Nothobranchius furzeri: one gene and its partners. The protein of the gene in region 2 interacts with the protein of the main gene of each other region in a pairwise test. Links are inferred from orthologs where the notes say so. Each region holds a gene or a part of one and is shown on either strand. Other genes may lie near its edges. The genes, in order: get4, get3 and gpx7.

What was found.
Region 1: the proteins of get3 (region 2) and get4 interact in binary tests that used the Homo sapiens proteins (3 or more experiments, as listed by UniProt). The link is inferred for Nothobranchius furzeri from reciprocal best matches to the Homo sapiens genes GET3 and GET4.
Region 3: the proteins of get3 (region 2) and gpx7 interact in binary tests that used the Homo sapiens proteins (3 or more experiments, as listed by UniProt). The two-hybrid records come from large-scale screens. The link is inferred for Nothobranchius furzeri from reciprocal best matches to the Homo sapiens genes GET3 and GPX7.

The regions. Positions count from the first base shown.
Region 1 is NC_091756.1:28,102,631-28,106,841, forward strand, and holds the start of get4 (Golgi to ER traffic protein 4 homolog), read left to right. Parts: upstream 1-1,386; 5' UTR 1,387-1,418; coding exon 1,419-1,636; intron 1,637-1,648; exon of another isoform or gene 1,649-1,872; coding exon of another isoform or gene 1,873-1,898; intron 1,899-2,463; coding exon 2,464-2,542; intron 2,543-2,787; coding exon 2,788-2,869; intron 2,870-4,211. UniProt on the Homo sapiens protein: As part of a cytosolic protein quality control complex, the BAG6/BAT3 complex, maintains misfolded and hydrophobic patches-containing proteins in a soluble state and participates in their proper delivery to the endoplasmic reticulum or alternatively can promote their sorting to the proteasome where they undergo degradation.
Region 2 is NC_091746.1:25,384,748-25,388,394, reverse strand, and holds part of get3 (ATPase GET3), read left to right. Parts: intron 1-499; coding exon 500-647; intron 648-902; coding exon 903-1,051; intron 1,052-1,137; coding exon 1,138-1,288; intron 1,289-1,396; coding exon 1,397-1,504; intron 1,505-3,647.
Region 3 is NC_091748.1:78,670,941-78,675,378, forward strand, and holds the start of gpx7 (glutathione peroxidase 7), read left to right. Parts: upstream 1-1,516; 5' UTR 1,517-1,584; coding exon 1,585-1,716; intron 1,717-4,438. UniProt on the Homo sapiens protein: It protects esophageal epithelia from hydrogen peroxide-induced oxidative stress. It suppresses acidic bile acid-induced reactive oxygen species (ROS) and protects against oxidative DNA damage and double-strand breaks.

The DNA of each region.
Region 1 (4,211 bases), on a different chromosome or scaffold from region 2:
TTTCTCCAAGTGCACTTTGCTGAAGACCGCAGGGCGCAGTGTGAGTATTGAGATTGGGCCCTCGTTTCTCGGCTAACCAGGGAACGTCTTGGGATTCCCCCGGAAGAGCTGGTCCAAGTAGCTGGGGAGAGGGAAGTCTGGGCGTCTCGGCTTAGGCTGTTGCCCCCGCGACCCGACTCCGGATAAGCAGCTGAAAATGGATGGATGGATGCTTCACTTTTAAACCAGTCAAGTGATTTCCCCCTGATGTCATGCTGGTTTAATCATGGTTAATTATGTCAAACCTTCATGATGACAGCTGTTTTTTCTCTGCTGTTTCTTCTGGACAGAGTGTGGCAACTCTCAATATTCCCAAAGTCCAACTCAGTTCCCTTGGTCTGTAAAAAAAATCAGCCATCTGTTGCTTTATGGAGCTGACATCCAGGTCATGGGACTCTTCCCCGTTCACGGCGTATGATCTGAGTTTGATGCTGAATCCGGTGATAATGAGATCATTGACCTTGGTGTCAACCAGGAAAGCAGTCTTCTAATCCTTCTCCTAGTTCTGGATACCTCCTCTACCTACATGCACCAAGATGCCTTTCTGCTGCATTCGGACAAAAGAAACCTCTTCCGAGAGGAAATCAAGCAACGTATCTCGTATCAATCAAACCAAATCCAAGCTTTATTTATAAAGCGCCTTTCGTGACCCTGTCGCGAAGCCCAAGGTGCTGAACACGGTACATGAGAAAAACAGGTAAAAACATTAAAGTAGAAAACAAATGGGTAAAACAAGAGATAAAGAGACCAATGAAAGCAGGGAATTAAAATTAACATAAATGAAGGCCTAACTCAAACATATTCAGGGAACGCGAAGCGGAGGAGGTGGGTTTTTAGGCGACTCTTAAAGGCTGGCAGAGATGGGGATAGCCTGACTGAGGGTGGCAACTGGCTCCAGAGTGACGGGGCTATGACTGAGAAAGCCCGGTCCCCACGAGTACGACACCTAGAACGAGGGACAGCGAGCAGGCCTTGGTCAGAGGAGCGCAGTGTGCGTGATGGGGAATGTCTGTTCAGGAGCGTGGCCAGATAGGGGGGAGCACTACCCTGGAAGAAATTGTAAACAAAGACGAGGAGTTTAAAGTGTGAACGATAACAGACCGGAAGCCAGTGCAGGAAGGGCAAAACCGGATTGATGTGGTCCCGTTTCCTGGTCCCAGTCAGTAACCTGGCTGCGCTGTTCTGCACAACCTGTAGGCGGCGCAGTGATGATTGACCCAGTTCATCCAGGTGTGCTGTTTTGTGAAGAGTCAGTCCAATTTAAAAAAAAAGTAATACGAAGAACAAACATTTTTTTTAATATAGTGCCTCTCAGTTTAGTGCCTCTCTACAAGAACAAGGCTAAGTCGTCAGAGTCATCGATGTTATAGTTGCTCCGTATGCCCCGTCCCCGCCCCTTGCTACGAGCCGCAGCCAGGACCTTCTCGCTAGTCGCTGCTGCTGCTAAAGGCATCGCTATGGCGGAGCCCGAGTCCCTGAGGTGCTCCAGTGCTAGAAACCGAGGAGGCGTTCAGAGGGTCGAAGGGAAGCTTCGAGCAAGCGTAGAAAAGGGAGATTACTATGAAGCCCACCAAATGTATAGAACTTTATTTTTCAGGTGAGACTTCACAATATGTTCGTTCTAATGTGCTTTTGTAGTTACGGTCAGGCCGGCCTGTTCCAGATCATTCCGCTGTCAAACCTTTGACTGGTGCTTGTACGTGATTGGTTGTATTCGCTCTGTGTCCCGCCTTCCCTTGATGGTTCTTGTGTTTGATTGGACAGTGATCCTTTCTATCTTTAGAAGAACAATTGCTATTGGCTTACCGTAATGATACCGCTAGTACCGAGCTGATGATAGCAAATTTTTTGTTAGCAGAGTGAGTAAAATGTGACAACGATAACTTATTTTTGGCTGTATTAATCATGAAATGTATACTGAAAACAAACTGAAAATAGCGACCAACTGTTTTCGTTGGTTTACAATGCAGTTATGTGAACGAGTACATTCATGTTCATTTGCGTTAGCATTTCGCTAGGTGGGAAGCAGCCTTCTGCTATCTCCTCGCAGTAAAATACGAAATAACGACGTGTTTCTAAACAGTTTGTTTTATTTTGAGCTATACCAGACTGATTTGATGCATTTCACTTCTATATCATATTCCATAAACTATGTCATATCCCACCCTACTATGGTAGAATACTAGTTTTGTGGTCTGACTTAACTGCTTACTCCCTCTTGAAAAACGTACTAAGCTGTCGAGAAAGCTCCCAGTTTAAAGCCAATTTCCCTCAAATGTATGTTCTTTCAGTTAATTCCGTCCGTTTCTTGATTGTCACAATCCTATCGTTTACTTTATCAGATGTATATGGTCATTTGGCCTTAGGGAGATTTAGGAGATTGTCTTTAAGTGCACGACTCCGTTCCCCTTTGCCTTCCATCAGGTATATGTCACAAGGAAAACATGCAGAGGCGAGGGAGCTGATGTACAACGGTGCTTTGCTGTTCTTCAGCTACAACCAGGTACAGACCACACCCACGTTTTTGACTAGAACATCCGCAGATTTCATGTTTAAAATTGCATTTCATTAGAAATTAGCATGTACACAACAGCTGTCAGGTTTACAGTTTTGATCTTTGCCTGCTGAATTAACCATAACTTTAACTGTACAGCCTGACTTGTGGCTTGGGTTAAGTTTACCGATTACAGTACGTTCTGTGACAATAATGCTGCCCCAAACATGAGTTCATTGTGGTTTACTTTACAGCAAAACAGCGCAGCAGATCTTTCCATGCTGGTGTTGGAGGTTTTGGAGAAGTCTGATACTAAAGTTGAGGATGAAATGTTAGGTGGGTTTCGAGCTTTCATTGTGTCTAAAAATAACTCTTACTGAGTCTTTTGTGTTGATTTTGATCTGCTTTCTTTTCATTATGTGACAATAGAGCTGTACAATTTATCACATTTTTATTTGAACTTCGATTTAAGAAATCACTAAAATAATGAAACCAACAACAAAAAGGTTAAATTGTTTTGCCAAGACAAGCTTGGTCTTGTATCGTTATGTGATCCAATTAACATACACCTGCCTCCTCTGAAAACTCACCCATACTTCACACTGGAAGCATCAGTGGCACGGACTGTCGCTGCTTCAAATGAGAAGACATTAAAATCTATGGGGGGGTTTCAAACCAGCCACTATGCGGAAATTTTCAAGCGCGTCCCAGAAGCAGCTGGCCATGCCACTAAAGATAGGATGGGTTCTATTTTTGCAGCAAGCCGCATCTGGGACACAACAATTTACACAGTTAGCATAGGGCTAGACAGGAAGTCGCACACGGTTTCAATGTAAAACCCCTGGTAATTCTCAAAATAAGACTACTGCAGCAATGCGATTTCATATCTATGTAGATTACATCAAAAGAAGTTACCTAATGGTTTGTTTACTCCCTGCATTGTTCCAGAAGTGCAATAGTGTGTTTTTTATGGCTTTAATCCTGCAAGTGGAGAGGAACAGCCTCATATGGCAGCAGCAGCTCAGGAGGTAGAGCGACTTGTCTGGTAATCAGACAGTTGCAGGTTCGATCCTGGCTCTGGACAGAGAATTCTGCTGTTGTGTCCTTGGGCTAGACACTTAACTCACCTTGCCTGCTGGTGGGATTCAGAGAGACCGGTGGTACCTGTGCTCATCAGCCTGACGCCTCTGTCAGCAGTGTTTCCATAGTTACCTTGAAATAGTAATCTGATTTCTGACTACTGATTACTCCTTCCAAAAGTAACGTAGTTACTTTACTGATTCATTCATTTAAAAAGTAACTGCCGTATTTTCCGCACCATAAGGCTCACCTGATTATACGGCGCACAGCCAATCAGCGTCCTAGTTAAAGGTTTGGTCCGCACATTAGGCTCACTGGATCAAAACACGCACCCAGCAAAGCAAACAAGCGTCCCGGTCGGCACAATTAAGGCAAATTGGGCAATTAGATCAAAGTCAAACGTTACTCCACTCATTATCTATACTAAAAAATAAATTTCTCATTATTAAAGTAACATAAATGGCCCAGTTTAATGCACGGGTGCTTTTAGCAGCAAGAATGAAGATTTAAACTCTGGTAACGGCATGACTGACTGACTGACTGACCTGCAGCAGCTGGTCTTCCAACTTTCTCCACTTGCAGACCATCGACTCGTTAA
Region 2 (3,647 bases):
GGGGGGGTGACTTGCTCTTTAAAAGTCGCTCCTGCCAGGTTCTTACTCCACTCCCACTTCCTGTTTGAAAAATGCCACAAATGCTGTTGCCCAGCAGACCGAGAAGGCGCTTGCGCGCACACACGCGCTCACGGCATTGTGACATCATAATGTACCAGCTAACATCATAGGGTACCTCTTAGCCAATAGCGATGGCAGATTTGAATTCAAATACAGTGCAGTTTTAACCTGACGACAACACAACACTGACAGTTTTAGGCAGAAAATTAAAATTTTAACTAAAATGCACTAAAGCGCCAAATAATTTCCAAAGGAAACCCAGCCTGAGGACACGTTGCCCAGTATTGTGGGTTTACAACAGAAATTAGCTCATTGAAAGAAAATTACACAGAGAGCTGACGCAAACATTTTTGCAGTGCTGGAAAACCGTTGAGTACAAACTGGGTTGCTGACATAAGGAGTTTTTTTTTTGAGTGTTTAATTTTGATGTTTTCCATAGCTGTAGCTTAGCGGTGCAGCTGGCTGCTGTCAGGGAGAGCGTCCTGATCATCTCCACCGATCCCGCCCACAACATCTCCGATGCCTTTGACCAGAAGTTCTCTAAGGTGCCTACTAAAGTCAAAGGATATGACAACCTCTTTGCTATGGTAAGCAATGCAATGCCTAAAAATCCCTTAACATGTTTAAAAGAACAAAAATATTTTTACACACTCAAACAAGAAGAGCAAGGAGGCCAAATAAAGAGGTTTATTTATCTTGTGTCAGTGTTAAGAGATCTGTGAGTCTCCCAAGAACTGTTTGATAAAGCAGCGATAGAAATGCTGAATCGCTGGAGGGTGGGAACAAATCGTCAGACGGTTTGTGTGTTTTGCTCACCTGTTTCCTGTCGTGCCTTATTGCAGGAGATTGACCCGAGCCTGGGTGTCGCAGAGCTGCCTGATGAGTTCTTTGAGGAGGACAACATGCTCAGCATGGGCAAGAAGATGATGCAGGAGGCCATGAGTGCTTTCCCCGGTATCGATGAAGCCATGAGCTATGCAGAGGTCATGAGGTGAAAACACTCAGTCATATCGAGCAGTTTTTTCAAGTGTTTAGAATCAGTGTTGACGTGATTTCTTTATCCTGCCTGTGCATCAGGTTAGTAAAGGGAATGAACTTTTCTGTGGTGGTGTTCGACACGGCCCCCACCGGCCACACGCTGAGGCTGCTCAACTTCCCCACCATCGTGGAGCGAGGTCTGGGTCGCCTGATGAAGATAAAGAATCAGATCAGCCCCTTCATCTCTCAGGTGATGGGACCAGCAGTTTGAATAGCTGTGTTTAGATGATGTGTACAGCTGTGTTTAGATGATGTGTACAACGTTTAAACGGAGTTGTCTGTGTGTTGTGTTGTTTAGATGTGTAACATGCTCGGTCTGGGCGACATGAACGCAGACCAGCTGGCCTCCAAGCTCGAGGAAACCCTCCCGGTCATTCGCTCCGTCAGTGAGCAGTTCAAAGATCCTGTAAGAGTTTTAAAAAATCGTGTATTTAAAGCAACACTAAACAGTTTCCTGCTCCTCCACCCTACTGGTTGAAAGTGGTTTTGCAGCTGTCGTAAACAACCCTGCTGTAGCTAGCGCTAACAACGAGCTAACACTTGCATGAGCCAACTAATACTAAAATAAAACACAAAGTAACTATTGGGAAAAAAATATTATTACTTACAAATCCAATAGCAACAGAGCATCAGAAGCAGGGACCTGAAATGGCTCAACAGCTTAATAACAAAGGCTGGTTCTGTTCTGGGGACGACTGTGGAACCACTGGAGGAGATAATGCAAAGAAGGATTCTCCAGAGAATCAAGAAAATTATGGACAACCCTGAGCATTCCATGTTTATCTTTATGTATTTAGCAGACGCTTTTGTCCTAAGCGACTTACAAGTGATAATCGGCATGTTGCCCTTGAGGTTAACAACAGCAACAACAACAAACAATTTCCAGTCAGTCGTAGGTGGCAGTGAGGCAGCATGATGAATCATGGAGAAGAGTGAACAAAGAGTGGACAGTAGAGAGGGGGGTGCAGGGTGCAGGGAGGGTGCTAGTTTAGAAGATGCTCTCTGAAGAGCAGGGTCTTCAGGAGTTTCTTGAAAATTGAAAAGGAAGCCGCTGTTCTGGTAGTGCTTGGTAGGTCGTTCCACATTTGTGGAACGATGCATGAGAAGAGTCTGGATTGTCCTGAACGTGGTGTAGGCACTGCTAGCCGACGATCCTGTGATGACCGGAGGGCCGAGCCAAGACGTAAGCCTTTGCAAGAGGATTCAGGTAGATGGGAGCCGTACCATCTCGGACTTTGTATGCTAATGTTAGCAATTTGAATTTTATGCGTGCTGCTAGCGGTAGCCAGTGGAGCTCAATGAACAGAGGGGTGACGTTTGCTCTTTTTGGCTGATTGAAGACCACACTGAGTTCTGGACCATTTGAAGAGGTCTCGCAGTACAGCCTGGAAGACCAGTTAGAAGGGCATTGCAGTAATCGAGGCGGGAGATGACAGTAGATTGCACCAGGAGCTGGGTGGCATGTTGTGTTAGGTGTGGTCTGATCTTTCGTATGTTATACAGCTCAAAGCGGCATGAACGAGCAACAGAGGTAACATGATCTTTAAAGGTCAGGTGTTCATCGATCACAACACCCAGATTTCGAACTGCCTTTGAAGGAGCCAGATATAGGAAGTCATTTTGGATTGAGATATTGTGCTGTATGGATGGTTTTGCTGGGATGACAATTAATTCAGTTTTAGAGAGGTTGAGTTGGAGATGGTGGGATTTCATCCATTTTGATATGTCAGAGAGACAGTTTGATATTCGTGCAGGGACAGTGTGGTCTTCCGGTGGAAATGACAGATAGAGCTGGGTGTCGTCTGCATAGCAGTGGAAGGAGAAGCCATGTGATTGAATTATCTCACCCAGTGAGGTGGTGTATATGGCAAAGAGAAGAGGTCCTAGTACAGAGCCCTGGGGGACTCCCGTGGCAAGATGGTGCACGGTAGAGGATTGTCCAAGCCAAGATACACTGAATGATTGTCCTGTGATGTATGATTCAAACCAGGCGTGTGCTTTCTCTGTGATGCCCATGCTAGAGAGTGTGGACAAAAGGAAGCCATGGTTGACAGTGTCAAATGCAGCCGATAAGTCGAGCAGGATAAGCACTGAGGATTTGGCAGTCGCTCTAGCTTCTTTTAAGGATTCCGTCACTGCTAACAGAGCAGTTTCAGTGGAGTGGCCCTTTTTGAACCCAGATTGGTAAGGGTCAAGCAGACAGTTTTGAGAGAGGTATTCTGTGATCTGATTGAAAGCCACCCTTTCAATGATTTTGGACAGAATTAGGGAGGAAAAGAGGGTTGGTCGGTAGTTCTCCACATGATTTGGAGGAAGAGATGTTTTGTTTTTTTAGCAGCGGTTTAACCTGAGCATGCTTGAGAGAGGTGGGAAATGTACCGGATGTCAGTGATGCGTTGATCACATGTGTGACTAATGCGGCTACTGTAGGAGCAATAGCTTGGAGCAGCTTAGTCGGAATGGGGTCGAGTGGGCATGCAGTAGGACGGCTGCACAAGACTGTCCGACAACGGAAGAGTGTCTTCAGTCAGAGGCTTCTTCAGTTTGGC
Region 3 (4,438 bases), on a different chromosome or scaffold from region 2:
ACGCGACGTTTACAGCAGAGCCGAACTCAGGACTTACTTGTGCACTCAGGATTAATGTTTGGTTGCTTCCATAGTTCCGCTTTACATGTTATCTTAGATCCCACGGCCCTGGCCAAAACAGCAGCCCCGCTGCATTGTGGGAGTGTCCGTGACGTAGGCAGGAGGAGTTTTTGATGCATGACCATAACAAGTCAGAAACTTTACGTTGTTTTTGTCAGCTGCAGAAATCCAAAAGGGTTCAAATGAAGGCCACTGGACTTCTGGTTTCTTGAAGACGTTTCACATCTCATCCTGTAGTGGTGGCTCCTTTGTTTGTCAACTCACTTCATATTTTCCTGCTTTAAAAGCCACTGCTGCGCTGTGGCAACGTTTCGTTCGCTCAATGTCCAAACTTGAAAGCTGCGTTTTCTTCAAGGTTTATTTTCCAGGTCGGCAAGCAATAAAACACAGATCCTGTTTTCCATTGTTTCCTGCTGCTTCTCCTGCTCTGGTAAAAACACACACGCCCACCCCAGTGCATGCTGGTGATATAGCCGAGAACAGCCAGCCTGCCGAGAATTGCATCCCCTGCCGCGGGAGCGCGCATTGTTGTAAACTCGCTGATAATGATGAGGAAACAGCTTCAAATATCAGCAACGCGACGGCTATAAGATACACTCGTACTATTACCATGTTACTTATGCATGTGCATCCTGAAAACTTAATATGTTGTCACAGTTGAATGTATACACACATATACATATATATGTATATACATATGTATGTATGTATGTATATGTATATATACACACACATACATATACATATATAAATGTGTGTGTATATATATATATGTATGTATATATATATGTGTGTGTGTGTGTGTATACACATATGCATTTATATACATGTATATGTGTGTGTATATATATATATATATATATATATATATATATATATATATATATACACACATAATAAATATAAATATATATATTAGTGTGTGTGTGTGTGTGTGTGTGTGTGTGTGTGTGTGGACCGGCCAGACTGAGCTCCCAGCTGCAGAGTTTTGTGTGTAGGAAGGGGCGGGCGCTCTATGTGACTGGCCAGTCACAGAGCGTGAAGACAGTCAGTTACCCAATGAGGATTTTCCTTCAGCACGATTACAGATATTTACGAGTTTTACTCGTTTCATGCTCGTATTCGTCAAAAATGCTTTATCCGTATCGGGTACTCGTCTGAAACAAGTATCCGGCTCATCCCTAACGGTTAGCTTATCAATCCTCTGCATTGATGAAAAGGCTCGGACCACAGAATTTACTACCAGGCAGATCCAGAGGTGCTAGCTACAAGAATAAAAAGGCAGAAGTATTTGACTCATTCATCAAAAGTCTGAACGTGCAAAATAATCCTCACCAAGTCATGCTACACACAAGCAGAAGTAACAATCAATGATCATGGCATGCTTTTATTTAACCGTGCGCTCGGTTCCCCTTTGAAAGCTTTTACTTTGTAAGCCCCGGCCGCAGCCGGAAGTGCCGCTCCAGCTGCGCCACTTGACCTCCTGGGCGACTCCTGTTGAGTTGGCGCTTTTTGCTGCGGAAGATGCTTCACGCGCTCCTCTCGGTGTTGCTGACAGTCGTCAGCCTCACAGAAAGCAAACAGAAAGACTTTTATAGTTTTAAAGTGGTGAACAGCAGAGGCAAGCTCGTGTCTCTGGAGAAGTACCGAGGTTCGGTGAGTCCGGCTCAGAAGCGCTCATCCTGGATGTTGCATGATGAGAACGTATCTCCCACTAACCATGCTGTCTGCAGATGTAACTAACTGTGTGTGTGCGTGCGTGTGCGTGTGCGTGTGCGTGTGTGTGTGTGTGTGTGTGTGTGTGTGTGTGTGTGTGTGTGTGTGTGTGTGTGTGTGTGTGTGTGTGTGTGTGTGACGCGAGCCTCCTGGGGGGACCCGGCGCCCCGGCCGCAGCCTACGTGGCAGCAGGCCTGCAGCTGCTGCACGCGCTCCGTTACCAGGTAGCGACCGGTACTCGCACCGCTGATGGATCACGTTTCAGATTCAGGTTTCAATCTGAACGCAAAAAGTCAGGAGAAGAAAAACAAACTTCTTGATCAACATATGAGGCACCATGTGTACAGCGAAATCCCATTTTTCTGCCAGCAGATATAAAAATAAATACTAAAGGTAAAGCTGAATATTAGTTATCCACATTTAGACACAATATCTTAAAATACACTATTTTATTTGGTCAACAGTGTAAATATTTAGAGTAACATCCGGCCACAAAATCAGAATACTGTGACAAAGTTGATTTATTTCAGTAATTCCATTCAAAAGCTGAAACTTGTATATTTCAAATGTATAACGAACAGCTACTGAAAATCCCAAAGACCCTGGTTATTCGTTCAGTCAGTGTCCCTCACGTAGGGCTTTATTTCAAGACCATAAATAAACAATGTAACTGTGCTGCCCTTTGTTTGTCGAACTAAAGCATGCGGTGGTGTTAGCATGGACTGGGAGCTTCGTATGTCCGACCTCAATAGAAATGCAAAAAATTCCAACTGTTTTTTTGCTTACTTGAAAAATGATCTTGATGAATTAAAGTTTTAATTGTTTTTTGGAGCTGATATTACAGCAGGACTTTACAGGTTCTGCTTTTATTGACCGTTTGCACCTACCTGGTATGTCACCTGATCACATGGGTCCGCGTCCGCGGTATGGCAACAGTGAATCACAGGGTTATTGAACAGAGGGTGAAAGTAGAGAACGGAGGAGGTCCTGCCTCAAGGGAAAGAGTTTATCTCGGGGTCTTGTTCACGAGTGAGATGGGTATGCGGATTGGTGCTGCGTCTACAGTGAGTCCAGCGGAGGTTGTATCGATCTGTCGTGGTGAAGAGAGTGCTGTTTGTGACGGAAGGCGAAGCTCTCCATTTACCAGTTGATCTAAGTTCCTACCCTCGCTTATGGACACGAGCTTTCGGTAGTGACCAAAAGAACAAGGTTGCAGATACAAGCAGCCAAAATGAGTTTTCTCCAGAGGGTGGCTGGGGTCTCCCTTAGAGATAGGGTGAGAATCTCGTTTATCTGGGAGGGGCTTGGAGTAGACCCGCTGCTCCTTCACGTCAAGAGGAACCAGTGAAGGTGGCTCGGGCATGTGGTCAGGGTGCCTCCTAGATACCACCCTGGTGAGGTTTTCTGGGTATGTCCAACTGGAAGTAGACCTAAAAGAAGACCCAGGACACGCTGGAGGGACTATGTCTCTCGGATGGCCTGGGAACGCCCTGGGATTCCCCCGGAGGAGCTGGCCCAAGTGGCTGGGGAGAGGGAAGTCTGGTCCTCGCTGCTTAGGCTGTTGCCCCCGCGACCCGGCACTGGATAAGTGGCCGAGAATGGATGGATGGATTTATAACATTGTTATAAACAGTGTTTCACTTAACACCAGAACTGATTATAAAGTCTGAACCACTACCAGTTTTTGCCACTGACAGGGTCACCGGGACCAGCTGGCGAAGCTCTTCATGCTAAATGCATGTTGTACACACACGTAATCCTACATGTAAGCAGTATTATTACTATCTTGCATTTGACATAAGAAGCCTAAGTTTGCCCCCTACAGTCGGATCACAGGCTATGATAACGAGGCTATGAAAGTTATTTTCTGGTCCGCGTTGCTTTATGCCCTGAATCCCACATATGTTGTACTTCAATTTAAATAAATAATCATTTTGTGTGTTTCGACTATGTCATGAGATTGTTTTAGTTTGTAAAAATGAGTAAATAAAACGACTACAAATCAGAAGTCGTGACCACAGAATCTCTATTGCCTCCGTGTAGCCGCTACTTATCGCGTGGTTAGATTTATCGGGGTTTTCGTAACGTTTAACACTCCTGGAGGAATTCGAAGCTCGCTTAACTCACAGCCATTTCTCTTTCTACCGGTTTTCTTGTCTTCTCCGTGTCCGATTTGATGGCCTCTATTTGGTGAGATGAACATTTGCAGTCCGAAACCTAAAACCTAAAATAACCGTTGCCCCCTGTTGAAAAGAATTGCTTTCTTGGCATCAAAATGTGATTTAAAAATAAAATGGCGCATATCACACGGGATCAGAAAATAACTTTTCTCTCCTCTGAGACTCGCGTTTATAGTTTAGACAGTTGGTAACCCGTGGTCCAGAAGTAGATGGGTATGACTCTGGCTGCCTACAGTGGACAGAAATACACGTCGTCCATTGTGGAATACAGGATTATCAATACTAAATGAGTAGTACACACACGTCACATTTATCCTCTCAGCTCCATCACAGTCGCGTCCCATCTCACACGAATGTTAATCCTTGCCTGCCAGACTCCTCCTCTGTTTAATTCTTTTCCCGTTTTCTGTCTCCACCAAAGTTACTAAAAAAAGACAAGTTGCGTTTACACTAGGGCTGCACGATATATCGCAAACACATCG